Linked DNA regions of Elephas maximus indicus. The protein of the gene in region 4 purifies or fractionates together with the protein of the main gene of each other region. This does not show direct contact. Links are inferred from orthologs where the notes say so. Each region holds a gene or a part of one and is shown on either strand. Other genes may lie near its edges. The genes, in order: GPATCH8, PSME3, FKBP5 and CLK3.

Region 1 (7,274 bases), on a different chromosome or scaffold from region 4:
AGTGGTTAAGAGCTACGGCTGCTAACCAAAAGGTCGGCAGTTCGAATCTGCCCAGCGCTCCTTGGGAACCCCATGGGGCAGTTCTACTCTGTCCTATAGGGTTGTTATGAGTCGGAATCGACTCAACAGTGATGGATATGTGCCAGTTGGGAGCCCATAGGAGCTCATAGGGGTGGTATGAGTTGGAATCAACTTGACAGCAATGGATTTGGCTTTGGTATAGATGTGCCAGTCGTTGTTCTGGGTGCTGGGAATATAGAAGTGAATAAAACTGAAAAAAAGTCTCTGCCCTTGTGGAGGTTATATTCTAGTGGAGGAATATAAACAGTAAGCAGAAGTAAGAAAATTATATGTTAGAAAGTGATAAGTACTATAAAGAAAAACAAAACAGGGGAAGAGGCTAGGGAGTTCAAAATATATAAAAAAAAATTTTTTTATATAAAAAAAATAAATATATAGGGCTCTGTAATTTCAAATAGGGTGATCAAAAAAGATCTTACTGAGAAAGTAACATTTTGAGTAAAGACCAGGAAATGAGGGCGAAAGCCCTGTGAATATCTGAGAAAGAATGATCCAGGCAGAAAGAACAGCATATCCATAAGCCCCAAAATAGGGCAGGCCGCAGCAGGAGCAGGTCTGGTGTGCCCAGAGAGAAGGGAAGCAGGGAGCATAGTAGAAGATGAGGCTTGAGAGGGAGGTGGTGGTGGTCAGTAGACTTTATACTGTAAATGACAGAAAAAGTCACTCGAAAGTTGGAGCAGAGGACTGACGTGATCTGACTGACTTTTTAATAGGATCACCATAGTTGCTGTACAGAATGCAAGGGACAAAGGTGAAGCAAGGGTAACACTTAGTAGCTACTGCAGTAATTCAGGAGAAAGTGAAGAGTGAAGGTGGCTTGGACCAGGGTATCTTTTTACTCTGTTTCCTGAGAGATTTCCTCAACTTTATTTTCTAACCTTTCTATGAAATTTCTCATTTCTGCTTAAGAATTTTGAATCTCCAAAAATCTTTCTTTATTTCCAAATATTTTTTCTTTTTTGGCATCCTATCCTTGTTCCCTACTACGATCTCTATCTCTGTGGATATTGATTATAACTCTCTTGATGTTTCTTTCTGTTCCTTTTATCATCTCTGTTGTTGGTAGGTGCCACTGAATCAATTTCGACTCTCAGTGACGCTATGTGACAGGGTAGAACTGCCCTATAGGATTTTCTGGGCTGTAATTTTTATGAGAGCAGATTGCCAGGTCTTTCTCCCTGGATGGATTCCATCTGCCAACCTTTTGGTTGGCAGCCAAGTGCTTAACCATGGAGCAACCAGGGCTCCTTCATTATCTCTGGCGCCTCTGAATTCCTTTTTGCTGTTTTCGTGTGTGTTTTGAGGGAGGGTATCTATGTCTTTCCTGTTACAGATTTCCCCTCAAATGTCTGGTAATCCTTGGCTATCCATTTATACTTAAGAAACGCATTGCCATCAAGTCGATTCCGACTCACAGAGACTCTACAGGACAGAGTAGAACTGCCCCACAGGGTTTCCAAGGAGCAGCTGGTGGATTTGAACTCCTGAACTTTTGATTTAAAGCTGAGTTTTTAACCACTGTGTCACCAGGGCTCCTTAATACTTAAGAGTGAGGCATTAAAAAGCTGAGTCAAAGCTCTGTGTAGATGGGGCTTGCTGTATTATGGGCTTCTTTTTATGGTATTTGGGCAGGAACTGACATTTTTGTTGACAAATCTCCTCCTTCCCGTTGTTGGTGCTTGTACATTTTTTTTTTTTTCTCCCTAAACAAGTCAGTTTCCCCAGGGAGAGATTCCCTTGGTCTCTCGCTGGAATGCTGGCTTTTACTGTATCCTCCTGTTTTCAGCTTGGCACCCCCTACCTCAGCTGTGCTAGACATGTCAAAACCCAGTCTTCTTGGTTCCAGTTTTCTAGAGGGTAACCTCCAGCTTGCTCCCCTAGAGAAGGAATGGAATTTAGGGTCTAATTGCTCTTAAACTGCCTTGTAACCAACCAATCCTCCTGTTTTCAGCCTCATCCACACTCTCACCTTAAGAGTTACCTAGCAATGACTCCAATTCCCAAGATTTTCTGGTGTTCTTCACGAAAATCAGCTTGTTTCCTGGCTTCCCCTACTCCAGGACTGTCTCTACTCTCTCAAAGCCATTTCCACTTATCTATGCTCTCTACCTTCTAAAATTTTGTTGACATCTCTTGTCTGTTGTTGTCCCCCTCCTGCTCTCTTTGTCCATGTGAGTTTATACCCTTCTCATCCCTTTGTCATTTTAGTGGGGTTTGGAGAGAGAGAAGTAAATTTATGATGTGTACCTACGTGATTCAATCTGCTACTTAACCCTCAAGTCACTTTACGAAGTATGAATTCAATGTGTTCTGCCTCCGCTTAGATGGGGATGTCTTTTCACTTCTTAGAGCTGTTTCATAATTGGCCTGGGGGTCAGGTAGGACAGACGGTAACAAAGGAATAGAAGATCAAAGGAATAGAAGATAACCACACTTCCTCCAAACAATTACATTCCATTTTATTTTCTCAGGGCCAGGGTAAGGGCTGCTTTTCCATTGTGTGATTTCTGTGCTGTTGCTATTTTCAAAAACAGTCCCAGGTTCTGCTCAGTGCGACTCTTCTCAGCCAAACGAGAGACCAGAGGTGGGAGAGTAGAAAGGCGCCTCATTTGGTTGTATAAAGAAAGGAGACAGTTAGGGCTGCTGCCAAGACTGCTCAGGGAGGGCAAGGGGGAAGGTTACTTTTAAGGGGTTTACAAGTAGGAAGTTCATGCAAGTTACATCAGCAACTCTTAATCATACTACACAGGCATCATGTGTTCAGAAAATGGTTAAACTCTACCCAGAGGCGGGGAAGTTACTATGTATGAGGTCCAAAAGGTTATCCTGAATATCAGCATGGCGCCTAAATTGGTTTCTGCCAATTTTCTCCAGTTTGGGGGAAGCAGTTAAGGAGAGGGGAACCAGGATTTAAATGTAAAGCTGGTGGGAGGAGGCTTGTCAAGCAAAGGAACCAGGATTCTAATGTAAAGCTATGGGTGTGCCAAGCAAGCTGCTTGAAAAGGTGGAATTTTCTGCAGCCTGGGGACCACTGTCTTACTCATTGGACTGCTACCCTAAAGGATGGCAGTTCGAATGCACCCAGAGGTGCCTCAGAAGTAAGGCCTGGCAATCTGCTTCTGAAAGGTCACAGCCTTGAAAAACCCAATGGAGCAGTTCTATTCTGCACATGGAATTGACTCAAAGGTACTACTACCACCAACAGCTCTTTTCAAAAGCAGTGAAGTCCTGCCACACCTGTGTGTTTTATGTACTTTAGCTAAGGGTACTAGAGGGCTGGGTGGGATCCTCAGGAAGGTCATAGGATTGATAAGTCTGATTTATGACCCACACAGTCAGTGCAGAGCTGGAGGGTTTAAAAAAAAAAAAAAAACCAACCCAAGCCAGCTGCCCTTGAGTCATTCAACTCACAGGAATCCTACAGGACAGAGTAGAACCCCATAGGGTTTCCAAGGAGTGGCTGGTGGATTCAAACTGCTGACCTTTTGGTTAGCAGCCAAGCTCTTAAGCTTTTCACCACCAGGTCTGGAGGATACAGATTACCAAACTCAATTTCTTTATTTTAGAAAATGGAAACAGGCCTAGAGAGCTTTAGCTGAATTGGATCAACTGTTCAGACCTCTGAGAAATAATACTTCTTTCAAACGATTGCTTGTAAATGCCAAACTCTTTCCATTCATAAGGCTTTTTGGTCTAATATTCCTTCTGCCTCAAGACCTTACAAGGCTGCAGGCCCCCTTCCGCTTCTCAGGTCAAAGGCCATTTCAGAGGTCATCCTTCTCATCATGGCACCCAGTTTTTTTTTAAATATACTTATTAATAGCTGAAGTTGTGTAACTGTCAGTTATCTGACTTCCCCCATGGAACGTAAGCCCTTTGAGAGAAGGCATCTTTTCTGGTTAGTTCACCGTTTGTCCTCAGGGCAAACCAGGATTTGAAACAAAGTAGAACGGCTCTAAAGCCCGTGCTTTCCGCCGCACTATATTACGTTGTTATTTGATTAATTAAATAGACGATGGACCTCTGCATACACAGGGAGCCAGGAGGGTAAGAAAAGGGCTGTAAACCGGCAAGTGAGCAGCTGGAAAAACAGCCCGACTCATCCCCACCGTGTTTCCTCTGACCTTTCCCTCCGGAAGCGCTAAGCGCCCCAGGGCGCGAGTCCGCACGCGTAGCCGCTGGGGTTGCTCCGGGCAGCGCGCTGAGCGGTGACGCGAGGGAAGGTTCCGCCTCCGAGGCTGGAAGGCGCCTGCGCCGGCGGGGTTTCCGTCAGGACGGGCGTTCTGGCTCACTCCCTCCTTCCCTCCCTCCCTCGCCTGCGCGCGTCCGGTGGGCGTCGGAGGAGGCGGGGAACGGGGGAGGGAAAGTAGAGGGGGCGGGTGTCGCGGTAGGGAAGGAGTGAACCGGAGAGCGTCGTTCTGAGAGGAGTGAAGGCGGCAAGATGGCGGACCGCTTCTCCCGCTTCAACGAGGACCGAGACTTTCAGGTAAACACCGGCGCAGCCGAGGACCCGGGGAAGGCGCCGGCCGAGTCTGGAAGCTTCTTCATCCTTGGCTCCCAGATCTGTTTCCTTCCAGGCTCTGCTTCGGCTTCCGAACCCGCTAGCCCTCCTCCCACCTCCGTTTTCTCAAGGGGCCTCCCAGCTTGAGGCGAGGCCGCATCTTCTCCCACCCGCATTCTCTGACTTTAACTCAGGCCGCTGGATCTGCGGCTTCGACCTGTTTGGGCTTCGGCTGTCGGAACCCCAGCCTGGGGGCAGTGGGGGACGTGCGCCCTGCGGGGCGGCCGGGCCTGTGGAGGTGCAGGGCTGACTCCCAGGGGGGAAAGAGGGTTGCGCTGGGAGGATGGGGCGAGAGTTGCTGAGGCCAGGGCTTCGGAACCCCTGGATTTCGCTCATTCGAATCTTCTTGGGGCCCTTCTCCCGTCTCCCCTCACTATAATAATCCTTTTCATTGCCCATTTTTCCATTTCTTCGCCTGCAAAAAGGGTGCCTTAGTTATCAGACGCGTTCTTGGTTAATCAGACATTGAGATTTCACTGGCCATAAATGTTGCTGTTGTTAGGCCGTTCATTGGTCTTGGACAGCAGTTTAAGTTATACGACTGTGGTCGATGTAAGCTCAGTCAGTCCCAAATCCTACCTAGAAAGATTTGGGGGGACGTAATGACAAATGGGCTTTCTGAGCATGTGAAAACTAGTGCCAAAAACTCGATTTTTTTTTCTCCAGTTGCAGATGTTGGTGTGGAAAAATGGCAAGCATTATTGGGGAAAAACTAAGGCCAGTTTAGAATAACTTGTCCTCTGACTGTTTAAAATACCTTACTGTCGAGTATTGTTAGTGTGGAAATCTCCGAAACTAAGAAAGATTTAGTAGAGGTTGACTGTTTCTAGGGTAAAATACATTCTGAGTGTCAAAGAAACCACTGCATTACTACCGCATACCCTGGCAACAGCAATTTGGGTCAGGGGATGAACATCAGAACTCAAGTTTTTTATCCCGCTGCGGATCTTCCTTAAAGCAACGTGAGAACTACTCTAAATGTGGTTCAGAAGGCCGTTTGAAGGATTTGAATTCCCTGAGGTGAATGGATTAGTAAACAGGTAAAGCTGTTTAGCAGTTTTTAAACGGACTCTGTTAACAGTCTAGTACATAAAAGCGTTGCGAGAAGTTTTGCAGCGGTAAGAAGGGGGGGCGGCTGTTGAAAAGCCCTGTGATCATGCGCCTGCTGTACAGCTGCAGTACACAATACAGGATCTCAGGGTGTTTTAAGGATATGATACAGGCCCAGGGAAGTTGGAAACAGTTTATATGGGCCATTTGATTTCTGAGGACGATTACTTCTTTACAAACACCATAAAACATGAATAGGCTGCAAAGTATGTGGACTTCATTGGTAATTTTTAAAGAGACAAATTGATAACACCCTGAAATACTTTTTAGACGTGAGAATTTCAAGGTGACCTGATAAAGCTGAAAATAGATAAGTATGGACAATTTTTAGAGGAAAAATGGCTCTCAACCACAGAATTACAACAGACTTAAAAAAAAGAACCCAGAGTTTGCAGGGGCTTGAAAGAAGGTTTTGAAAACCATGGGTAGCAGAGTGTGAATGCTGTCACTTGAAAAAATTGAGGCTAGCCTCTAGTTTTTCAATACCTAGTTTCTAAGAAGGATGATCCTCTGCTGTTTTAGTTGGGTTTATGTAAAATCTCCTTTTGGTTGCTTGGTAGTCCTTTGAAGATACTACATGTATTTTAAACTTATTTCCTGCTTTTATGTTGAAATAACCAACTCCTGTATTGGGTCAGGAGCCCTGGTGGCGCAGTGGTTAAGCGCTTCGGCTGCTAACCAAAAGGTCAGCAGTTTGAATCCACCAGCTGCTCCTTGGAAACCCTCTGGGGCAGTTCTACTGTGTCCTATAGGGTCACTATGAGTTGGAAAGGACTCGACAGCAAGGGGTTTGGTTTTTTCGGTTTGTATTGGGTCAACCAGGGAAATGTTTTTTTTTTTTTATTTATTTAGATGTCCTAGCGTTTTGGTTTAATAGGCTATTGGGAGTGGAAATCTTCTAGACAGTTAGGAGATGTTAAAATTTTTGTAAACTATTGTGCTAACATTTCTCAAGAGAATTCATTTAAAAATACATAAAGTAGCATTTTCTCTGTTTTAATAAAAGGAAAACAGATTGACTTTCATGAAGAATGTCCTTTGATTTAAAGTTCTTGGGGAGGAGAATGTAATGTAATAGAACACCCTTGTGTATGGCGTATCTGAAACATTTTTCAAGTTCAGGTTATTTGAAATTAAATCTAGGTTATAGCCTACCCCCCCAGAAAAGAAAAACTGTGGCCTCCTTTTCAGGTTTTTAAGTGATAAATGAGGCGAAGTCACTGAATATTGTGGCTACTTAGTGATAATAGGCTTGAAAAATACTTAGTAGGTTTTCAAACACAGTATATAGGTCCTGTTCTTTAAACATCTTCTGATAGCACTGGAAATTTCCTTGTGCCATCTTCTCTGGAAAGTTCTAAATGACTTACTGTTTTATTTGCCTTTATTTTGGCAAGATAATTTAGAATTGTAAAATTTCACTCTTTGGCAATTTACCATCAAGTGTAAAATGTTGGTGAGTTTGTTGTCTCTTGTATGGAGTCAGAGAGATGGGCTTATGGATTTTGTGGCACTAATTTCA
Region 2 (7,255 bases), on a different chromosome or scaffold from region 4:
AGCCTGAGAAAGTGAAAAGGGATGCAATCCAACACACAAAAGGAAGAGTGAGGATTTAATGGTAGCAGGGATAGTTCTTTCAGTGAAAGAGGAGTAAAGTATTTGCAGGTTGGCAGATTTAGTGGCCACCACTTGTCTGTCAGTTTGTGCTAAAAAGCAAGATGTCACCTTGAGGACTAAGGTTCACTTGACCCAAGTCATGATATTTTCAATCACCTCACATGCATGTGAAAGCTGGACAATGAATAAGGAAGACCAAAGAAGAATTTATGCCTTTGAATTAGTGTTGAAGAATATCGAATACGCCACAGACTGCCAAAAGAACAGACAAATCTGTCTTGGAAGAGGGGACAGCCAGAGAACGCTCCTTAGAAGCAAGGATGGCAAGACTTTGCGTCACTTTATCAGGAAGGACCAGTCCCCGGAGAAGGACATCATGCTTGGTAAAGTAGAGGGTCAGTGAAAAAAGAGGAAGACCCTCAATGAGATAGAATGACACAGTGGCTGCGACAATGGGCTCAAAAATAGCAATGACTGTGAGGATGGCACAGGACCAGGCAGTGTTTGGTTCTGTTGTACACAGGGCCACTGAGTTGGAATTGCCTCAGTGGCACCTAACAACAACAGGTTTACTGGTGGAATGAAGTACTCATTTGCTCCTGTTTTCTCAATGAAGTTTAAGCAAAGACCATACGCTGGAGGTGAGGGGGGGATGTTGGAGGTTGAGGGAGATGACAAGATAGGACAGTCATTTTGGAGTGTGGGAGAGGAAACTTGACGGAAGCATGCCATAGGCTCTCAGGTAGTGTTGTACACTCATTAGAGATTTGGGGACACGAATTTAAAGTGTCACGAGTCATCAGTGATTATGTGTGATTTACAAACACCCAGGAATGAATAGTGCTTGTTAAAAATACTAGGTCCCTGGTCTAACGGAGACTGGAGAAAGCCCAAGTATATGGCCCCTGGATACCCTTTTAACCCAGTACTGAAGTCACTCCCGAGGTTCACCTTTCAGCCCAAGATTAGACAGGTCTACAGGGCAAACAATAACACATGTAAGCAATGTGCATCATAGCTCAATCATGTATATGAGACTAAATGTGCACACAAGCCCAAAAGCAAAGATGAGAAGGCAGAACGGGACAGGAAAATTGGATGAATGGATACAGGGAACTGAGGGTGGAGACGGGGAGTGTGTTGACACATCACATCTTTGGCAACCAATGTCACAATACAATTTGTATATTAATTATTTAATGAGAAACTGATTTGCTCTGTAAACTTTCACCTAAAGCACAATAAAAAAATTGGAAAAAAAAAGATAGTGGTGCCCTCAGCAATTGTTTGCTGAATAAATAAGTGAAGTATCATTTAAAACATCTGGGTTGGAGAGAAGGAAGGGAAATAAAGAATGTGTATGTCTTCTTATAGCCTACTTGAAGGAGACAAAACATAATGACTTGAGAACAAAGTTGTATTTCAACAAGCACAAGCATACTAAACTCTCAAGTTGAAGTTACAAATGCTGAAGGAAATGCAGAGCATTGGCATAGGGAAAATAGGATGAAGTTAATTTGGGAAAAAATTCCTAAAGTTTCAGATCAGATTTCAAAGGTTACTTGGGACATACATTAACGGGAGAGGTAAAAGCATTCGAAAAGTGTTAGAAGTTAATGAAGCAAGATGGGTAGTACAGGATGTTGTATGCAGTCTTGAATAAATGAATGAATAAATAAAGCTTAAAAGCAGGGATGATGATAATTATCAGAGTTTAACGAGTAATCTCTTTATGCTAAGCACTAACAAGTTGTTCATCTGACAATAACTGTTTAGTTCCTGCCTTGTGCCCAGTGTGTCAGTTGTTTTACATATATTTCTAATATTCAACAACCCTACAAAATTATATTTTATTACTAGTAATTATTAAAATTCAATTTCGTAGATGAGATTGAGACTCAGCAGTTCAGTAACTTTGCCAACATTCCAGTAAGGAGGTGAGGCAGGCTTTGAAGCCAAGTCTCTTGGACTCCATAGGCCTCCATTTAACTGTGTATTCCTCTCCTCTCCCTAGCACTTGCAGAGTTCTGCCCAGGGTAAATGTCGTTACCGCTAACCCCTTTCTTTACATCCTTTAGCTCTCTGCTTAAACATCACTTCATTGAGAGGCTTCCTTGGCTATTCTAAAATAAACCTGGTGCCCTATAGTCGATTCCAACTCATAGTGACCCTACAGGACAGAGTAGAACTGCTCCATAAGGTCTCCAAGGAGCAGTGGGTGGATTTGAACTGCCAACCTTTTGGTTAAGAATGGAACTCTTAACCACTGTGCCTCCAGGGCTCTAAAATAGACCCCTGGAATTCTCTCTGTCAGCCATTTTCCCCCAAACACTCATTGAATTTTGCAAGTATTTTATCCGTTTACTTTTTGGTGTCTTTCCCTAACATTAAGCCCCATGAGACTAGAGTCATGTTTTCCTTTGGTTTCCCAAAGCCGTGCTGTTCAATGCAGGAACCACTAGCCACACGTGGCTGGCTCTAACTGAGATGTGCAGTAAGCGTAAAATAAGATTTTGAAGACTTGGTATCAAGAAAAAAAAAAAGTAAAATATATCATTAATATTGATTACATGTTTTTTTTTGTTAGAGTATTTTTATATGCTGTTAAAATATGATTAAAATTAACTTCACCTGTTTACTTTTTTAATATGGCTACTAAGAGATTTTAAACGACATTCGTGACTCACATTGTATTTCTAGCTTCTTGGACAAAACTAAGTGAAATAAGCAATGTTAAGAGATAAACCGGATAAATTGATGAGTGAAGAGATACGGCCTCTGCCTTCCCTTAGGAAAATGGATACAGCATTGTCCTAGAAATCAAGACATCTGGGTTCTGGTCCCGGGTTTATAGAAACACCGTGTAGCCCTGGACGAGCCCTTCCTTACTCTGGTTGTCATTTTGCACATCAGCTAGTTATCTCTGAGGTCTGGAAGTTTACGAGACGAAGAGGAGAAAAGTGGGGCAGTCTGGTACAACGGAATCTGTCTTCTGTTTGGTTCTAGCCTCAAACACTTGAGCTTCTTCTGTCCACGAGATAACACAGCAGGAACCGCGTACTTCAGCGAACTGAGCGCTGGGGAAGCCGGCTTCCTTGGGCGGACGTCACTGGGCTGCGACGGCACTGACGCTCTTGTCTGCGGGGCGGCACCAGCTCCGGAGTTCGCTTCCGCGAAGGCGAGCTCCAGGCCAACTGAGGACCAAACAGTTCTTGAGCCTCTAAGAGGCTCGGTTCTCAGTACACAACCCTCCGCCGTCCTCCCTCTTACTTCACCTTTACAGGTAAGGGAGCCCGTCAGAGCGCGCAACAGACCGAGAAATATGAGCTCCGCCCTTGGGCGCCCAAAGCCGAACCCCAGCGCGGCTGCGCAGGGCACGTGTGTGTACTCGCTGGAGTCCCGGCGATTGGCTGTGACGTAACTTCCGGTGTGAGCGGCGAAAGCCGGGAGGGCGAGCGAGAAAGAGAGCAAGCAGCAGGCTGCAGGCAGGCAGGCGGGCAGGCGGGAGGACGGCACGGAGGGAGCAAGCGAGCAGTAAGTGAGCCGGCGAGGTCATCGGCGTCCCGAGGACAGCAAAGATTCCCCCCGCCTTTCTGGCCCCCTCCCCGGAGCCCACAGCGCCTCCGGTTTACAGCGGAGCGGACACGGCCCGGCCCGGCCATGGCCTCGTTGTTGAAGGTGGATCAGGAAGTGAAGCTCAAGGTAGCGCACCGGTCCGAACATCCTCACCCCCCGCCTTGTTCCCTCAGCAGCCTGACTACTCCCCACTCCCATGGCGTCTTTGTCTCCCTGGGGACTCCAGCTCTGAGCTTCCGCTCGGCTCAGCCCAGCCCCCCACTGCCGGAGACGGCCCCAGTGGGAAGGATAATATAGGGTGGCCTTTAGTGGCCCGTCTGGTGATGGAGAGCCCCGGGGAGACCTCGGCGGGCACGTGTTCGCCTCAATGCTTTGGGCTAGTGACAGCTGGAAATCCCCCAACCCAGCAGTGTCCCCGCGCCCGGACACTGCTGCTGCCCCTGCCCTTGGCGTCAGGCTTACCCCATACCATAGGCTAGGTCTGGTGGGGATTGGCACGTTTGTGAGCTCACATCCTCCATCTACCTGTCTATTGTCCCCTGTCACATCTAGACAGCTTTTGACACAGGGAGGGGGGGAAAGAGGGTGGGAGGGAGGAGAGGAAGAAAGGCGGAGGCAGCCTTCAAGCCCCGCTTCCCTCTCCTAAGATGGAAAAATGGATCCTCAAAAAAATAAAGTATTTGCAGTCTGGGGGTCTGTCAGCTTCTCATTACAATTACAAGGTGAGGGAAAGGCAGCTAGATTTGAGATTCCCCATCTTGCCCTCACCTCTGTTGCCAGGCACTGAATTTGCTTTTACCGAATTGCTCTCTTTGTTAATTTTAGGTTGATTCTTTCAGAGAGCGGATCACAAGTGAGGTGAGTGAAATAGGGAGAAAAATTCATATGCTGATTAGTAGTTGAGAGTTTCCCAAAGTGGAGAATATTTGTAGAGAAAGACCTTCCCACAGTTACTAATTCAGCAGTATTCCCTCACCCTCACCTTTAGGCAGAAGACTTGGTGGCAAATTTTTTCCCAAAGAAGTTGTTAGAACTTGATAGTTTTTTGAAGGTGAGAGACCTTTTTCTTTCCTCTGTTTTCCCCAATCTCCCCTGTTTTTTTGGGTGTGGGAGGGCTCTGGTCTTTTTTTTAAATGGGACAAAGTGTATGTTGATTCTATTTTGTTTTGCACCGTCAAGCACTGCCTCATTTCTTGCCCTTCAAATGAAATACTTCTTTGTTCAGTTTGAAAAGACTAAGGTTTTTTGGGGGGTGGGCATTTCTGTTTCAGGAACCAATCCTAAACATCCATGACCTAACTCAGATCCACTCAGACATGAACCTCCCGGTCCCTGATCCCATTCTTCTCACCAATAGCCACGATGGCCTGGACGGTGTAAGTGTCGTTTTATATGTATCTTTCTCTTCTTAAGCCGTAGGTTCTTGGTTGTCTGCTCCCTGGTCAGTTCGAACATGTACAGAGGGAACAGTGGAATTTGGATCTGGGAACCAGGACTCTGACTCTTACGGGCGTGACAACTGTAGCACATTCCCTTTAGACCCTGATTTACATCCATGGCATGAGATTATTCTTCTCCTTTCACTCTCAGTGTAGAGGAGTAAACTCACTACAGCTTCTGTGAGGTCATGTGGTCTGTTCCCGCACCTTTAAGCAAGGCTTTTCTGCTCTTTCTATTCTTAATAAATTCTTCATGCCCTATAGCTCCAGTCCCTGTCTTTGCTGTGCTTCATTATTTTTCAGAACCCAGTCCTTATCATTCATGTAATTTTGTTATAACATTAGTCAGACTGTATTGTTTTTGTCTGCATTACTGTCTGATGGACAGAACTTGCACTTTTGGAAGACTGAAAGTGTCTTAATCATCTTTGTATCCTCAGCACCTAGCATTGTGCCAGGTGTACAGAAAGTGCGACATGTTTGTTGATTGAATATCGTGTTCAATATTCAATATTTGTGGAACCAGGAGATTTGTACATATTCCCTTAATTAACCTCACCCTGCATTAATCGTTCCTTTTCTGTATTTTTTATAGTATCCTTCCCTCACCCCTCTTCCCCCAATTGCTTAACGTCTTTCATTTCTTGAAAGGTTGGTCTTCCCAACTAGGGTATTAGTTACTTTGTGCCAAGAACCCTGTCTTAAAGCCTTAGATAATCTTAGTAAACTGTACATAAATTGATAAAACAACCCATGGGGTTGAGGAAGGAATTAAACTTGCTTGAAAGGTAACTGGGGATGTAGACGTCGAGGGCAGGCCAATTCACGCCTTTTTTGTATCCTTAGCCCACTTATAAGAAGCGAAGGCTGGATGAGTGTGAAGAGGCCTTCCAAGGTAAGAGCCACCCCTATACCACTGTTGACCTGCGTCCCTGAGAAGCGGGGTGGATCTGGTATTCTCGCCAGGAAACAGGGTCTGGTTTTATTTCCCAGAGTCGGCATTCCTAAGCACTCCAAACGCGGTCATTATTTAGCCCTACACCTAACTTTCTAATAAAGAGAGGGAGGGTTTGACTTGTGGACTGCCAAGGGAGAGAGGCTGTAGACGGAGTCTACGTATCCAGACGTTCATGGAAGTTCCACTTCCATGTTGTTTTTCCCACTTCAATAAAATCGATATATTAAGTCTTTGGTGTATACGTTTATTTTAATTTACTTGTCCTTAAGGCTTTTGGCAGGCTTTAAGTATTCATTGGTTAATACGTACATTCTCTTTCTGATTCTGATAGTGGTGCCATGGTTTGTAGATAGGGTTGTGACAAAAGGCAGAGGTCACAGCATCTCGTGGGTATGGGGAAGGAGAGAGAAAAGTGGAGGATGCTATGTCCTCCTCCTCTCCCCAGTCATTTGACCTTCGTGTCCCTGCCAGGAACCAAGGTATTTGTGATGCCCAATGGGATGCTGAAAAGTAACCAGCAGCTGGTGGACATTATTGAGAAAGTGAAACCTGAGATCCGACTACTGATCGAGAAATGCAACACGGTGAGGCAGAGGCCAGTGACCTGTGGAGCGAAATAGCCCCGCTTGAATGGTGAAAAACGATGGCTAGGGGGCTGGAGACATGGAGATGGTCTTGGGGGTTGGCAGGCTAGGTGTCTTGGCTCTTGCGTTCCTGGCATCTGGCCCCAGCAGCCCAAATCGTAGACTTCAGGCATTCAGCAGAAAAGGCAAAGGTTCTCATATATGTGCTTTGGTTCTCCTACCTTCCAGGTCAAAATGTGGGTACAGCTCCTGATTCCCAGGATAGAAGATGGGAACAACTTTGGGGTATCCATTCAGGTAACATGCTTGCTTGGTTGTAAACTGGAAGGAAAGGTTTGGAAGATGTTCCCATCTCCCTGCTTTATCTGTGGCTGCTGCAGGGTAACATGGGAGTGGCTTTCAACTCACTTGTTTTTTGTTTATGTTTTTTCAGGAAGAGACAGTTGCAGAACTAAGGACTGTTGAGAGTGAAGCTGCCTCTTATCTGGACCAGATTTCTAGGTAGGTCTGCTTGGACTTGGTCCAGGAACTGGGGGCTGTGAGGTGGTGGGTACTGGACCAGGGTCTCCTGCAGCTTCCTCTTCTCTCTCTTTCCAGATATTATATTACAAGAGCCAAATTGGTTTCTAAAATAGCTA
Region 3 (7,283 bases), on a different chromosome or scaffold from region 4:
GCAGAAGTGATGTGTCAGTTCTGGCCTCAGCCTTAAGAAGGTCTGGCAGTTGCCTTGTTTTGGCTCTGGGGGAAGCCAATTGCCATGTAAGAAGTCTGAGTATCCCGAGAACTGGAACCTAATCAAGGAACCATGCCCAGCTGGATGTCAGTATTGCTATGGACCTGTGACTGCTGTGTGCCGCCATTTCCTCTTTTTTTTTTTTTTCCTCTCTCTCTCTCCTTTTTGAATGGAGGCATCTATAGCAATTTTGGAAACCCTGGTGGCGTAGTAGTTAAGAGCTATGGCTGCTAACCAAAAGGTGGGCAGTTCGAATCCACTCCTTGGAAACTCTATGGGGCAGTTCTACTCTGTCCTGTAGGGTTGCTATGAGTCGGAATAGACACAATGGCAACAGATATAGCCATTTTCCTTTCCCCACCTCACCATCGTATGTTGGGCAAGTGGGGAGCAGATGAGTTAGTTGTCTCTTCTATTCGGAGGTCTTCAGACTGAGAGGAGCAGCACTTGAGAAACCTCATTTATACCCGCGCCTGATTTCGATGATACAATACATCAACTGTATGTTCCGTATCTAAGGAGAGAAAAGCCAACCTTGAAAATTATAGCAGGGAACTAGGAGATATAAGAAGTGACACAGCAGATGTGAAAAAGAACCTAATAGAAATTCTAGAACTAAAAAATAAAATAACCAAATTATAAGAGCTAAAAAAAGAAAAAGAAAAAGCTGAAGAGAGAAATAATGAACTGAAAAATAGAGGAAACTTACCAGAACAAAGAATCCAAAAAAAACCCAGTGCCTTTGAGTGGATTCCGACTCATAGCAACCCTATAGGACAGAGTAGAACAGCCCCACAGAGTTTTCAAGGAGCATCTGGCGGATTTGAACCGCTGACTCTTTGGTTAGCAGCCGCAGCACTTAACGACTATGCCACCAGGGTTTCCAAACAAAGGATAGAAGGACAAAATATTGAAAAAACAGACGGAGCGGATGGAGTGAGAAAGTTTTATGTGTTTCAATTGTAGCCACAGAAGGAAAGAAGGAAAGGGACAGAAACAATATTTGAACAAATGATGGCTGAGAATTTTTCAAAACTGATGAAAAGCTATTCAAAAGGTAGTAGGCAGCCATGAAATGACAGCGATCCATTCCACTAGGTGTTCTAACTCTTAAAATAGTACACACTTTGTGTACCAAGCTGCCTTTGAAAAGATTCTGAAACCAGAATGGAGTAGCTCCATAGTGAATAATAGGGCTTGCGTGCACAGTTCAAGTACAAGTTCTATCATTTTCTAGCTGTGCAGCTTTCCCAACTAGCAAATGGGAGTCTCTGGGTGGTGCAAATGGTTAATATGCTTGGCTGCTAACCGAAAAGTTGGAGGTTCGAGTCAACCCAGAGGTGCCACAGAAGAAAGGCCAGCCATTGAAACCCTATAGAGTGCAGTTCAGCTCTGCAACACATGAAGTTGCCATGTGTCAGAATGGACTCAGTAGCAACAGTTTTTGTTTTTTTTTTAATGGGACTAGTAATAATGACCTTTCGTGAGGATCAAGTGATACAATACGCGTGAACAAAATTAGTAAATGCCAAGTGCTTTAAATATGAGCTGTGGTTTGAGCAGCGCCAGGCTGGCCACAAGCATGCCCAGGGGCATGAACAGTGACGGGTAGGACTGGCTACATAATTTGTGAGGCCCAGTGCAAAATGAAAACATGGGGGCTCTTGATGAAAAATTAAGAGTTTCAAGATGGTGATTGCAGAGCATTAAACTAAGTGCAGGGTCCCTCTAAGTGCAGGGACCTGTGGGACTACACACGTCACATGCCCATGAAACCAGCCTTGAAACCAGACCCTGTGAAGAACTACGGTGTGTGGTAGGACAGGGCTGCTCGTCCCACACCCAGGTGTCTGCAGCTGTGGCCCACGTCATCTTTGGATTCTGAAGGGCAGCAATGTTTAGGGAAAATGCAAGCACACGAGTTTCTAAATGCCAAGGAGGGCAAGTGCAGTGACCGGAGTGGTTTTCTGAGGGAGTGGGTGGGGCCAGCCAGGCTGCCGTCGGAACTGTAGAACTGACTGTTCCCCACAGACTCCAGCCTAGGAACAAAAAAAAAAAAAAAAGGCTGCAGCTGTATTGACAGGGCCTGTTGTTGTTTGCTGCGGTGTGTTACAACACAGCCTGGCAGCCTCCCGGGCCTTTCTGTCTTCCTCCTGGAAGAGCCTGGTCCCCGAACATGTGACGCAGCCACACAGTCCTGCAGATTTGTCCTCGGCGTTCCCTCAACCACCAGAGCTGCCTGATTTTTCTCATACTATCCCTCCACTGCCTGGGAGTCCCTGTCCTTCCTCTCCCATGTCCCTCTATCTTCGTCTGGCAAACACCTACTCCATCTTTTAAGACTCTGCTCCAGTGTCACTTCCTCAATGAAGTCTTCTCTGGCTCCCCCAGGGAGAGCTGACTCCTCCTCCTGAGGACCCTCTACTGTATACTATATAGACATCTGTCGCAGCCCCTGTAATCTGAGGAGCACTGACATGCTATGTGGATGCCACTGTCACCTAGGCTGAAGCCCTCAGCTAGAGCAATGTCTTCTCACCTCTGTATACCCTACACGTAGCACAGTACTTAATACTTGCTGTCATAAAGCAAACTGGATGCTTAATGCACGAATGGTTACATGCTTGACTACTAGCCAAAAGGCTAGTGGTTCAAACACACCCAGAGGCGCTTCAGAAGACAGGCTTGGCCATCTGCTTCTGAAAGATCACAGCCTTGAAAACCTTATGGAGTAGTTTCACTCTGACACATATGGGGTCGCTATGAGTCGGAATCGATTTGACGGTAACTAACAACAAATGCTTAAATTGGTGTTAGTATGAAGAGTAGTTTTGTCTTGCTAAATTAATGTAAGAACAAAGTGTCCCAGGAACTCTTCCCAGCAGCTGCAGAGAGGGGAAGCTGCTAGGCACTGAAAAAAAAAGGAGACATAAAATGACTAAGACAGGGTCCTTGCCCTTGAGGAGGTTTTAGTGTTGGCCCTATGTCTTTTCTGCAGCCACCACCTTTTGAAGGCAAGGAACAACTAGGTACCACCCAGCATGGTGACTTGTAGTAAAGGCTCTTCATAAAAACTTAAATGGCCAACACCATATAGTGGAAAGAAGGCAGATTTGGAACTAGGAGGTGTGAGTTCTGACCTAGCTATGGGACAATAGCTTTCCAAAGGTAATTATTAGATCTCATAGGTATCTAAGGAGCCCTGGTGGTGCAGTGGTTAAGTGCTCAGCTGCTAACTGAAAGGTCAGCTGTTGGGACCCACCAGCCACTCTGAGGGAGAAAGATGTGGCAGTCTGCTTCCTCAAAGACTACAGCCCAGGAAACCCTGTGGGGTGGTTCTACTCTGCCCTATAGGGTTGCTATGAGTCCGAATCGACTTGATGGCAACGGGCTTGGTTATGGTATAGGCAACTAGCCGTGAGACTTTAGGGATGTTTGCTCAGAAATGAGGGACTTGAGCTATATAGTTCCTAAGGCCCAGGAACCCCTCATGACTATGGGAGCTACTGGGGAAGCCCATCTAGTTTGAGGGTGGGGTTCTCTTGAAGTTGACCTTGCTTAGCAGGCCTGCCCTTTTTTGGGGTGGGGGAAGAGGTAGAGCAATTTTTAAGGTCCCTTCCTGTCTCAGTTGCCTGGGATCTCATGTTTGAAAGGTAGAAAGCCATGGGAAAGCATGGCCCTGGCAGTCACTGGTGAGGTGCTGTGTGCTAAATTGGTTCTTGAGGTGCGGTTTCTTCAGTCTTGGCTGGGCGTCTTCGACTTCATGGGGTCATTTCCTGGGGCTGACCTGGCCTGCCCCTCTCCGTCCTCAGGGCACGCCTGGTGGTCAGATAAAAAGGACAGAGTTTTCGGAGAGGCGATATGGGTGTTAAGTCAACTAGCTTGTTTAGGCGTAATTTCTCTGGAGGTGAGGGAAAGTGTGTGTGTGTGGGGGGGTCGGTCAGCTCCCTCCATCCTGTCCCTCAGACCCCCACAAAGGTCCAGGGCCAGACACGTGGGCTGGTGAGGGGAGGCGGAGGTAGCATTAAGGCGGAGATGCAAATGAACGGGGCGGGGCCTGATTTACATGGACGGCGCACGGCCACCAATCCGGACACGCAGGGAGACAGCCCGCGCGCCTTTTGGGGGCGGACTGACAGCCCCAGGGCCCTATGGAAGGCGGGTCCTGCGGCCGGCGGGGGCGGGACAGCGCCGGGCGCTGCCCGGGGGATTGGGGCCGGCTCGCAGGCGCTGCCAGTCTCGGGTGGCGGCGTCCGGCGCGCGGGCGGGTGGCCTGCTGGGCGGGCTGAGGAGCGAGCGGCGCGCGGGTGAGGCGGAGAGCGACGGATCCGGCGAGCCACCGCAGCGACAGGTACCAGCGCCATGGCCGCAGGGATGGGGCGGGCGGCGCCCCGGGAGCCGAATTCCCTCATTCCGGGTCCCGCCACGGCCGCGCCGCCTTCTCGCCCCTCACGCAGGTCCCCAGCCCGGGAGCGGCTCGCGGGGCTCGCGGGGCCGGGGGAGCCTCGAGCCGAGGGCGCCAGGACGCCCAGCCCCCCTGCGGGCCCCTAGCGGCCCCGCCGACCTCGGGGCCGGACCTCGCTCCGGGAGGCGCGGGAGCCGCTCCGCCCCCGCTGCGCGCCCCCTGGTCCTCACCCGGCTTTTGTTTCCCGCCCGGGCTGACAGGTCCCGGCTCCCGCTCCTGTCTGCGACCCCGGCTGCCCGAAGGCAGGCGGACCCGTGACCGCGGAGCGGCGCCGCGGCCGCCGGGAGGAGCGTGAGTAGCCGCCGCCGCCGCCGCCAGCCGGAGAGAAACTTCGCCTTCCGGGGCCCGGGGCGGCGGGAGAAGTGGAGCCCGGGCTTGAGCTGCGCGCCGGGACGCTCGGCGGGCACGAGCCAGGCTCCCTCCCGCGGCGGGGCCCGTGGAGGGCGAGGATAACGGAGCGTCCCCGCGGCTGCCCTCCGCGCCAGTTCGCGCTCTCCCGGCGTAGCCAGCCCGATGGGTGTGGATGGGCGTGCCGCCTTCACCTGCCGCCCGGGAGCGGCGTCTGGAAGCAGCATCCCTGCGCCTCGGCCACTTGTTGGAGGGGCCGGTGCACGGCTCCTTGAACTCGTGATTCAGTTATGCGCTGGGCTGCTAACCTAAAGGTGGGCGGTTCGAACCCACCCAGCAGCTCCGCGCAAAACGACCTGGCCATCTGCCTCGTGAAGATTACAGCCTAGAACACCCTAGGGGCAGTTCTGCCCAGCCAGATGGGGTCGCTGTGAGTCGAAATGGACTCCACGGGCACCTAACAGCAGGGCCAGATGAAAGCCAGTTAAAAGTTGTTTTAGGATTCCTCCTTCTGTTCAGCCCTGGCGCTAAAGCCTTCTACTTTTTATCTGTCTTCTAAAGATGTGCTGGCGAGGAGTGTATGAGTCAAAACCAGGATTGAGACAAACAGTTTGAGGGTCAGGGTGTAGATTGCCTTTTCGACTCACAAGCCAGGAGGAACATTTTAGTCTCCTTTCAAAAATGGGTTTCTGCAGTGGTGGGGAAGGCGTAGTAAGGTACGAGTTGTAAGTGGAGACTGCAGGACTCCAGATCGCCTTCCGTGTGGTTCGGAACAGCGTGTACAGCCTTTGGCCGCCATTCAGTAAATTCTGCATGGAGCAGTTGGAGCTCGTGGTTTGGATTGACTCTTCAGGAGTGTGTTTTCCAGTGGACTAAGGTTTAACGTTGAATGGGAGCTTTCTTTGCCTTTCTGAGGGTAGACTCATACAGGAGTGTTTATTTTTATTGTCTTTGCATTTTGTTAGATTGTGGACTAGGGAAAAGTTAAGGCATATTTTGGTTAATTATTTTTAAGTCTGTGGGAGTTCCATTCCCATTCCCCCCCGCCTCCCCATATCAAGATTTTTACTTTAGAGAGTTATAGTAGCTGCTTCTCTTGGGGTTGAATCAAAATGCAAGGATAGACTTAAAAAAATTCTTATTCTGGTGGGATTTTTTTTTTTCCTGTCATACCCTCACTTACCATTTTCTATTTGTCTCTTTCTCAGCGGACTTCTGCCTAACAATCTGCAATTATGGCCGTGACCAGTTTAGGGCATCTATAGAAATAATCTCATATAGGGTCGCTATGAGTCGGAATCGACTTGACGGCACTGGGTTTGGCTTTTTTGTTTGTTTGTTAAAAGAAATAATACATTTTTAAAATTTGGGTTATTAATAACACTTGTCTTTCGTGAGAAACACTTTAGTTTACTCAGTTTCTTTTTCTTCAGCGTCATTGTATTGGACATGATTTACACTTTAGAGATTTAGCTTTTTAAGAACAAAGTTACTAATTTTGATTTAGATGAGTTATGCTACTTTGTTAGTGTTTTATTGAATGATAATTTTACTTATTTACCTAGGAACATCATTGTAAAATGGACACTTTTGTCAACAGGTTAGTCGTGACTATTTCAGATTTAAAAAAAGTCTATATACATTTGGTTTTTAAAATGTTTTATTTCTCTAAAACACCAGGCTTATATATTATGAGGTCTTTCTCTTTCCAGCATTTAGTTATGGGAATTTGGGGTGAATTTCTTTTTTAAAACAATATTAACCAGTTAAAAAATGAAAAGCTTAAAATACTGGATTAGACAATTAAATCTTAAATTTTCTGTTTATTTTTGGATTGGAGTAGATTACATATTTCTGGTTTTTTAGATTCCTGTAGGGTTGCTATAAGTCGGAATTGACTCAACGGCAACAAGTTTTTTTTTTTTTAAAGTCAGTTGAGGATGAATTAGTCCAGAGAAAAGAGGACGTGTTTTTCTATAACTAAACTACTGCTATAAAAAACTGAGTTGGCTTTTTAACGTTTAGTGAGGATACATTGATTGAATAGTGAGTCCTTATGTAAACTGGGTTCTGTTCTGTATAAAGAATTGTGAGGAAACTTACAAGATGGGCTGTAGTTGTTCTGAGAGATTTATATAATTGTTCTTTAAAATGTATAGGAATGTGCTACTTTAAATACAACTAAGTGTAATAGAAACTATAGTCCTTGTCCTATGATGAATAATTAAATATCATAAGTTAAAGTTATATTTTGTAGATTTATACAAAAGCATATTTTAGGTGATTTAAATATGAAGTACCTTTTAATTAAGGGCTCATCTTAAAATTCAGTTTTTAGATCATTTAATTACTGAATTTTGTCCACTTAAATTTGTGGTAGACTATATTATAAAATCACCAACACACATTT
Region 4 (7,790 bases):
GGCTCTGCCTCAGTGGGCCCTGAGTACAGAACAGACTGGAGTCTAAAGCTGGAGCAGTCCCTTCCTCCTAGAACACCCACCTTTGAGCCCCCTCCTCAGATGCAGAAACTGAGTCCCTGGGGTGAGCATGCACTCAGCCCCACCCCCTTGGCCCAGGGTTCTCTCTGGTTATTCCAGTTTCAGATAAACCCCAGCCTCGGCACCACTAAACAGTTCTCAGTTCTAACAGTTCCCGTGTGCTGTGGGTGCTGACCGCCAGCCAGGCCACCTACTGAATAAACACCACCTCATTTCACACTCACGGGTACCCGGCTGGGGGCTGTGCCGCTGAAGCTCAGAGGGGGCATTCAGTTGCCCCTGGTCACTGCAGGGCAGGGAAGAACGGCCCAGTAAGCAAGGTAGGCACAGGATTACTTCTTCTTGCTTACTCATCTGTAGAGCACAATTTCACCTGTTCCTTACCGTGTTAAAGATGTTCTGAGACCCATATGAAACTGTGCACTACAGATGATAAGTAAACACAATTAAGCCCGTGCCTACCTTGCTTGCTGGTTAATCCGCCCCTGCTGCAGGGAGTCCCTGCAGAATGGGGATTCCCACCCAGCGCTGTCAGGCACTAGAGCGCACACTCACCCACCCTGCTGCCCTGCAGCGCTCCCCTTCCAGGTGTGTGAGTCTGGTGGGCAGTGGTTAGGAAACAGTAGGGGCCAGGGGAACATTTCAGGGCCAGCACAATTTAGCTAAAGGAGCCCTGGTGGCACAACGGTTAAGTGCTTGGCTGCTAAGAAAAAGGTATGGGGTTTGAACCCACCCAGCAGCTCTGCAGGAGAAAGACCTGGCGATCTGCTCCCGTAAAGATTCCAGCCTATGATTGCTCTGACAGAGATCACAATAGAGGGTCGCGGACAGAGCAGGAGAAAAAAAAGTAGAACAAAATTCAAATTCACAGAAAAAGACCAGGCTTATGAGTCTGACAGAGACTGGAGGAGCCCCTGACACTATGCCCTCCGGATACCCTGGTAACTCAGAATTGAAGCCACTCGTGAAGTCCACCTTTCAGGCAACGATTAGACAGGCCTTTAAAACAAATAATAACACAGGAGAGGAACGTGCTGTTTTAGTTCAATCAAGTATTCAAGACCAAATGGGCAACACCTACTCAAATGCAAAGACAAGAAGGCAGGAAGGGACAGGAAAACTGGAGGAATGGACATGGAGAACCCTGGGTGGAAAGGGAAAGGGGGACAGTGCTGACACATTGCAGGGGTTGCGACCAATATCACAAAACGGTTTGTGTATAAATTTTTGAGTGAAAAGCTAACTTGCACTGTAAACTTTCACCTAAAATACAATAAAATTAAAAAAAAAGATTACCCACCCACTGCCATCGCAGCCTAGAAAACCCAACGGGGCAGTTCTACTCTGTCACGTGGGGTAGCTATGAGTAGAAGTCAACTCAATGGCACCTAACGACAACAACAACATAGTTTAGCTGTGATGTGGGGGTCAGAAGCCCCCAAACTCCTTGCTCTGATACCTCTTCAGTTTCCATAACTGCAGCTGTAACACAGGGGCCCTGACACCCATTCCCCACCAGCTTGTGGTAACTCATGAGGCAGACAAGGACTACTCGGTGGGTATTATCCCCTCACACTCCTCCTATCCCCACTCTTCTTACCTCCAGGGCCTCAGAGTCCTACCACTGTCTCCTTCCTCCCAAGCCTGAGCGCCAGGTACCCAGGCCCAGGCTCCGTGATGGCATGGAGGGTGTGTGGCCCAGTCCTGGAAGGCTGTCTCCACCTGAGGAGAAAGAAGAACTAGGCTGAACCTCCCCTCCCCTCGCCCTGATGTGCCCATTCCTCATATACCCAGACCTGCTCCCACCTCAGGATGGCACTGCCATCCACCAGGCCCTCTCGCCTCTAGACACCTTGACTACTCTCCCCTCCCTCCAGGCCCAGGTCCCTGCAGCCCAGGAAATGGGAACCTGACTCTCCTAGGGGCTCCCAGGAAGGTTTTCCAGGGGAGGTAACCCTGGGGCTGAGGCTTGAAGGTGAATTAACTACCCCTAGAGAAGAGAAAAATGGATGTGGCAGACAGAGGAGAGAGCATGAGCAGCAGGACAAGAGGGGGATCAGAACAGCTGGGGCCTGGAGGGGCAGTAAGCTGAGTCTGCGTTGAGGGTGGCCAAGTGAAAAACCAAGAGGGGCAAGGCTGGCCCTAAAGAGGAACTGTGGGGCCAAGTGGCTAGGAGCCGGGCACAGGGCGGAGGCAAGACCTCGGTGCTCTTGAGTCATGCTTTGGACCTCAACAGAAAGGACCTGGTGCGGGCAGGGGCGGGCGACTGGGAAAAGAGCTTGGGTCTTCAGGGCAGGGCTGTGGAGCAAACCTCTGGAGTTGGTCCACCCCCTGAGCTCCCGGGCCAGGGGTTACCAGGGACTTATTGCCAGGCAGCACGGGAGTATGAGAGTGGTGCAAGGGCAGTTCCACATACATCACATCAGGGTAGATCTTTTTCCAAGTGCCTATTTGGTGCCCTGGTGGCACAGTGGTTAAAATGATGGACTGCTAACCGAAAGATCAGTGGTTAGAAACCACCAGCAGCTCCACGGGAGAAAGTTGTGGCAGTCTGCTTCCTTAGAGATTTACAGCCTCGGAAGCCCTGTGGGGTGGCTGTGAATCGGAATCCGCTCAGTTGCAGTGGGTTGGTTGGTAGGTTATTTGATACCCTGTTTCACATTCTGCTCAGGTGTGAGTTCTTTTAGGAAGAAAGAGACAAAAGAAAGAAGACTTACTGGTAGAATCTCAAGCCCAATGGCTGCCTGACTCCAGATTTTGGAGAGTTAAGGAGCTGGGAGATGGCTCCTATTTCTCTTCAGAAAAAGAGAGAGCTGCTTCCTCACTGGGAGGTAGGGACTCCTGGTTTCCTGGGGGTAGAGGGCTTGGGGGAAGATGGGCCTAACTTACCTCCTCAGAGCCTGGTGCCCAGAGCAGAGCTGGGGACAGGAGCCTCTCTGAGGGCCTTGGCGCCTCTCAGCTGCCCGCCACAATCCTGGCTCCAAGGAGCCATGGAAACCGCGGGCAACACTAGGTGGTGGGAGGAGGAGCCACCAGAGCCCTCCCACCTCGTATGAGTGGATGAAACCCCTAGGAAGAAACCTGGTTGGTGTGTCCACGGCCTAGACCAACGAAGCATTGAAGCATTTGGAGCCCGGGCATAGGGGTGGGTAGGGGTTGTGGCACCTCAGGTGCCTGCCATTTTTTAACCCCCTGGCCCCTGAGGCAAGATCCTGAGGGGGCGAGATCTGAGGGCGGCAATAGCCAGGTTCTGGGTCACCCACTGCACACTTGAAGTGGCTCTAGAATTTCTATATTGGGGGCAGCATTTGATTGGCAGGAGGACTCGGGCATGGTCTTGAGGGGGCATTAGCGTAGCAAGCACCCAAGTTTTAGGTAGCTTCTGTGTTTATTTTGGGTGGGAGTGGTGGAGGAAACCGAGATTTGGGGGATGTAAGCATCCCTCAAGCCACGTCGTAAGACTCCAGTTTAAGGGGGCGCCAGAAGCGAAGTACTATAGGGGGAATGGTCGCCTCTGACCAGGCAGCCGGGGCTTGGAGACCGCGCCCCCAAGTCAGGGGCGTGGCCAGTTCTCATTGGGGAGGGGGCGGGAACTGGGCGGGGCCGGGGAAGAGAGGCAGGCGGGCGGCCCGCCTCCGCCCTGCCCCGTGAGGTGTTGGAGAAACCCAGGCCGCCCATTGGTGGATGGCAAGAGCTGGCTGTCCAGGGGAGGGGGCGGTGCCTGGGGAGATGCCCAGCCCCGCTCACTCCGGCCGGGAGAGGCTGCGGGTTTCCAGCGCTCGCTTGGCTTGGGGGCAATTAGGGGCCGCTCCCGCTCGTTTAGCTGCGCGACGCCCGGGAGAGCCCGGGGGCGGGGACGCCACTCCCGGATCGGGCGGGGCGTGCGCGCCACAAAATGTGAGGTCTCCCAAAGGGCCCCGGACCTCAGTTTCCTCATTTGGGAAATGAGGCTTCGTAATCCCGCTCTAGACAGATAGGAGGGAGGCGTTATGGTGATGCCATGCTCGGGGGCCCTGCATGGCGCGAGGCTTTTGTTTGGCTGGGGCTTACTGAGAAACAATGCTGGCCGCACTAAGACGCTCTAAAGGTACTCAAGGGGGAAGAAGACCCCCTGCCACCTGACCCCGACCCCTCCAAGATGCCCCACCATTGTGGCTCTCGGGTATATTCCCAAAAACTGTTTTGGATAAACACACAAACACACATTTCATTTGCTTTTTTCACACAACCGTTGTCACCACCGCCTTCGTGAGCCTCTGGGCCCAGGTCTCCGCCGTCTTTAGTTCCCTCTTGGGCCCCGTGGCCAGGTGGACCGCAGTAACCCCCGTTTTCACTGTCGTAACAGGGAAACAACGACCGTCCCCTCCGCGCACAGAAAAGGGGTTGGCGGACACGGGCGAAGCTCCGCCTTTCGGCTCCGAGCACCCCCGCCGGGCATGGAGAGGCTCGGGGACCAGGCACCTGTCAGGTCTGGAGGGTTTACGTGCGTCGAGACACGACAGGGGGCGGGGCGAGCCGCCGCCGCCGCCGGAGCCACCCCTCGGCCCTCCCGGAGCTAGTCTCGACTACTCTGCGGCACCGACCGGAGCGTGGAAGGCCAGTCCCCCAGAGCCTTCGAGTCAGGGGCTAGAGCGTCCCGGCCACCGAGCCGAGCCGACCCGGGGCTGGCGACGCCTGCGTCACCCGGGGGGCGGGGACGCCACGGGCGGAGGCCGGAGCCGGAAGCGGAAGAGGTGCTCGGAGCGGGGAGTGGGGCCTAGCCGCAGCCGGAGCCTGGGAGACGGTGAGTGTGGGCCTCGGCCCGCGACGACGGCTGCGGGAGGTGAGTCGGGCGGGGCGGCCTCGCCGGGTGCGGGTTTCGGGTGTCCCGGTTTGGGCTCGGTCCGCGCCCTTTCTCTTCCTTTACCAACCTCAGGCCGCAGCCCCGACCCCTCACCCCTGACCCGCTGCTTGTCGCCCCGAGGGCGAGCACGGCGGACCTCGAGCTCTCGATCCCGTGGTGTCGGAGTGGGAGCCAGAGCAGCCTCTGAGGCCCCCTCTGTCAGCCCCTGCAGGGACCCAGTTTCGGCACTGCGCCTGCCCGAGGAATGGGGTCGGGGTCCGACCTGGGATAGCCTGGAGACTCCTTCAGACTCCTTGGCTCGAGCCTTGGTCCGTAGGTCCCTCCTCCCCGCGTGGCCTGGAGTTGGATTCTGGCTCACACCGACCTGCCCCCACCACCTGGGTCCCTCCTCCGCCATTGACGGTGGTTCGGGGGGCACGGGGCTCCTAGATACCCAAGACCTGGGGCGCCCGAAGGGACCCGAGCGAAGGCCGCAGGCGCCTGTGTGTGTTTTGTTGTGATGATGGAGCCGCTCCAGCCCCGGGGGAGGGGCCCGGCCAAGCTGACAGCCCAAATGCCCGGCTGCTCCTCAGCCCGGTAGCCTCTGTGCTTTTAGTTCCGGGTGCGAGTGCCCTGGTGTGGAGCCGGTGTGGGAATTGCCCGAGCCAGGCCCCGGTCGAGGCGGAGTTGGCGGGCTTCCAGCTTCCCTCCTCCGTGCCCTTGAAAAGGAGGAGCGTTTCACCCCGTTGTGGCGGCTTGCGAGGTGGCAAGCTTGAGGTTGCAGTGGCGGGGCAGTGCCAGCCAAAAATAACCGTGGGGCGCTGGGGTGGCAGGGCTCCGGGAGGGCAGTCGCTGACCCGGCTGGCTGCACTTCTTGTCAGCCCAGTTCTCTGGCCAGGAACAGCAAATGAGAAGCCGACTAGGCCTGTGCTCCGAGGAGAAGAGCTGGCATCCTCGGCCTGGTTTCCTTCACATTACCTTTTTTTTTTTCCCATTGTGTAGAGCAGAGCCTCCTAAAGCATGATCGTGACCTTAGCTTCCTAAAATAACCTGTTTGCTGGGGTCTCAGTGGATCTGAGGCAATGGATGAGAAATGGGCTCTTGTGCTGTTGGTGGGAGGCTGAGGAGGGGGTCTGGTAGGTCCAGTAGCTCACCTGCCTAAAATGCGGTAAAGGAGAGATGATTTCTCCTATTAGTCTTGCCTTGCGTGTAGTACTTTATAGCTCTCATGCTTGTCATCTCCTTTGCCAAGTTGGCTGGGAGGTAGTGTTATCTCTACTTTCCAGGTATGGTAGCCGAGGCCTAGAGTGACTTGTATAAATTCACGAGGACAGTAAGTGACAGCACTGAGAATTAGGTCAGGGTTTTCTGCCCAGAACTGTCTTCCCCCAGGTTCCCAGGAAGGGACTTATAAAGTGTTCTTAGTGCTCTTAAGGCATTTAACAGAGGTCCAAGTTGTTACCCGGAATGTTTTTCATTTTGTTAATGAAAAGTTGCCTGTAGTACCACTTGTGGGCCCAGGCCTATGCTAGGCAGTTGGTTTAGAGGAGACACATTAAATCCTCACAAACACTTGTAAGAGATTGTTATCCTGTTATTGCAAGAGGAAGCTGAAGGATAGAGCAGTTGAGTAACTCGCCCAAAGGCACACAGCTAGAAGTGGCAGTGCCAGGCTTCAGACTGACATCTGTCTGCCTCTGAAGCCTGGGCTCTTTCCACTAACATGAAGTGTGTGGACATGTGTATCTTCCAGGTCCTGGGAGGGAGGCTTTGGCCTGGTGTGGACTAGACCAAGTCCTCCTGATGCTTTGTCTCCTAAGCAAGGAGGGCCCATGCCAGGCCACTGGAGCTTTCATTCCACAGCTTGGGCACCTGCCCCAGGGTAATGGCAGGAAAACAGTGAAACATTAGTCACCTAATCAACAAAACAGAACAGCAATCCAGGTCTTAGGGATCTGTCAGTGATTTTCTGTATGTTTATCTCCAAGGATTGCTGAGGGCTGGGCCAGTACCACTTCCTGGACTTCCCAGATAGAGAGGGGACATCAGCTACTGGGGAAATGGAGGGCAGTGACTTTGTCAGGATCACCGAGGAGCTCCCAGGAGTTTGGTCAGATTGGCCTCTTTGCCCTGCTTACCCCAGGGGGAGCCATTCCATGCTGCTCTCCTCTTGACAGACCTTTCTGCCTTGATGGTGCAGCCTCAGTGGGTTTGTCCGAAATGTGCTGGTCAGGTGAGCCCAGGACTGACCATGACCAGAGGCTGGCTGTGGCCAAGTGAAGGATTGGCCTAGCCTTCCCATGGAGGCAGCATCAGGGTTTTGGATGTAGGTGGAAATGGGGGCTGGCCTCACATAGCCACTTTTCTCAGCTGGTACTGGTCCAGCCTGGCGATTTCCCGTGGCGGATATAAGTCTTTGCTTAACAGGGAGAGTGGGGTGGGGCCCTTTGGCCTGCCTGCCTGTGCAGGCAGCCAACCCCTCTGCTCTTCCTGAGATGGGAACAGGAGCCAGTACTGGAGCAGGGGAAAGAGAAAAGGGGACAGCAAAGGTGATGTTGGAGAGAGGTGAGGCACTGCCCAGCATGGCACTGCAGGTGGTCTGAAGGGTGCTAAGTGGGCCTCTGGCAAGAAACTTGGGTGCTCGGAGGACCCTGGCATCCCAAGGGATACTGAGACCAAGTGATGACCAGTAAGGGCTGGTCAGACTCTGGGGTAAGCTGGGGAATATTTGTGAGACCCTGTATGCCTCTTTTTCCGAGGGCTTGTCCTCTCATCTGTGGCTCCTCACATTGACTTGCGATCCTTACTCCCTTGAGTAGGGTCCACTTCAGGGCCTCAGCCAGGAGACTTTAGGCTGAAGGTGTTTCCCCGCTTGCGCCCATGTTGTTGG

Evidence for each region.
Region 1: the proteins of CLK3 (region 4) and GPATCH8 purify together in Homo sapiens (affinity purification with mass spectrometry; 3 studies listed by BioGRID and IntAct, counting the BioPlex papers as one, with this or other methods). This does not show direct contact. The link is inferred for Elephas maximus indicus from reciprocal best matches to the Homo sapiens genes CLK3 and GPATCH8.
Region 2: the proteins of CLK3 (region 4) and PSME3 purify together in Homo sapiens (affinity purification with mass spectrometry; 5 studies listed by BioGRID and IntAct, counting the BioPlex papers as one, with this or other methods). This does not show direct contact. The link is inferred for Elephas maximus indicus from reciprocal best matches to the Homo sapiens genes CLK3 and PSME3.
Region 3: the proteins of CLK3 (region 4) and FKBP5 purify together in Homo sapiens (affinity purification with mass spectrometry; 3 studies listed by BioGRID and IntAct, counting the BioPlex papers as one, with this or other methods). This does not show direct contact. The link is inferred for Elephas maximus indicus from reciprocal best matches to the Homo sapiens genes CLK3 and FKBP5.

Annotation. Positions count from the first base shown.
Region 1 is NC_064837.1:51,005,692-51,012,965, reverse strand, and holds the start of GPATCH8 (G patch domain-containing protein 8), read left to right. Parts: upstream 1-4,264; 5' UTR 4,265-4,522; coding exon 4,523-4,567; intron 4,568-7,274.
Region 2 is NC_064837.1:49,667,357-49,674,611, forward strand, and holds the start of PSME3 (proteasome activator complex subunit 3), read left to right. Parts: upstream 1-4,242; 5' UTR 4,243-4,283; coding exon 4,284-4,358; intron 4,359-4,461; coding exon 4,462-4,494; intron 4,495-4,624; coding exon 4,625-4,687; intron 4,688-4,907; coding exon 4,908-5,012; intron 5,013-5,921; coding exon 5,922-5,970; intron 5,971-6,504; coding exon 6,505-6,617; intron 6,618-6,845; coding exon 6,846-6,914; intron 6,915-7,050; coding exon 7,051-7,118; intron 7,119-7,214; coding exon 7,215-7,255. UniProt on the Homo sapiens protein: Subunit of the 11S REG-gamma (also called PA28-gamma) proteasome regulator, a doughnut-shaped homoheptamer which associates with the proteasome. 11S REG-gamma activates the trypsin-like catalytic subunit of the proteasome but inhibits the chymotrypsin-like and postglutamyl-preferring (PGPH) subunits.
Region 3 is NC_064819.1:99,356,609-99,363,891, reverse strand, and holds the start of FKBP5 (peptidyl-prolyl cis-trans isomerase FKBP5), read left to right. Parts: upstream 1-4,276; 5' UTR 4,277-4,411; intron 4,412-7,283. UniProt on the Homo sapiens protein: Immunophilin protein with PPIase and co-chaperone activities. Component of unligated steroid receptors heterocomplexes through interaction with heat-shock protein 90 (HSP90).
Region 4 is NC_064831.1:64,685,847-64,693,636, forward strand, and holds the start of CLK3 (dual specificity protein kinase CLK3), read left to right. Parts: upstream 1-4,773; 5' UTR 4,774-4,861; exon of another isoform or gene 4,862-4,900; intron 4,901-5,183; exon of another isoform or gene 5,184-5,263; intron 5,264-7,790. Other genes in the region: ciliary rootlet coiled-coil protein 2, read right to left, coding at 1-19, 303-432. UniProt on the Homo sapiens protein: Dual specificity kinase acting on both serine/threonine and tyrosine-containing substrates. Phosphorylates serine- and arginine-rich (SR) proteins of the spliceosomal complex.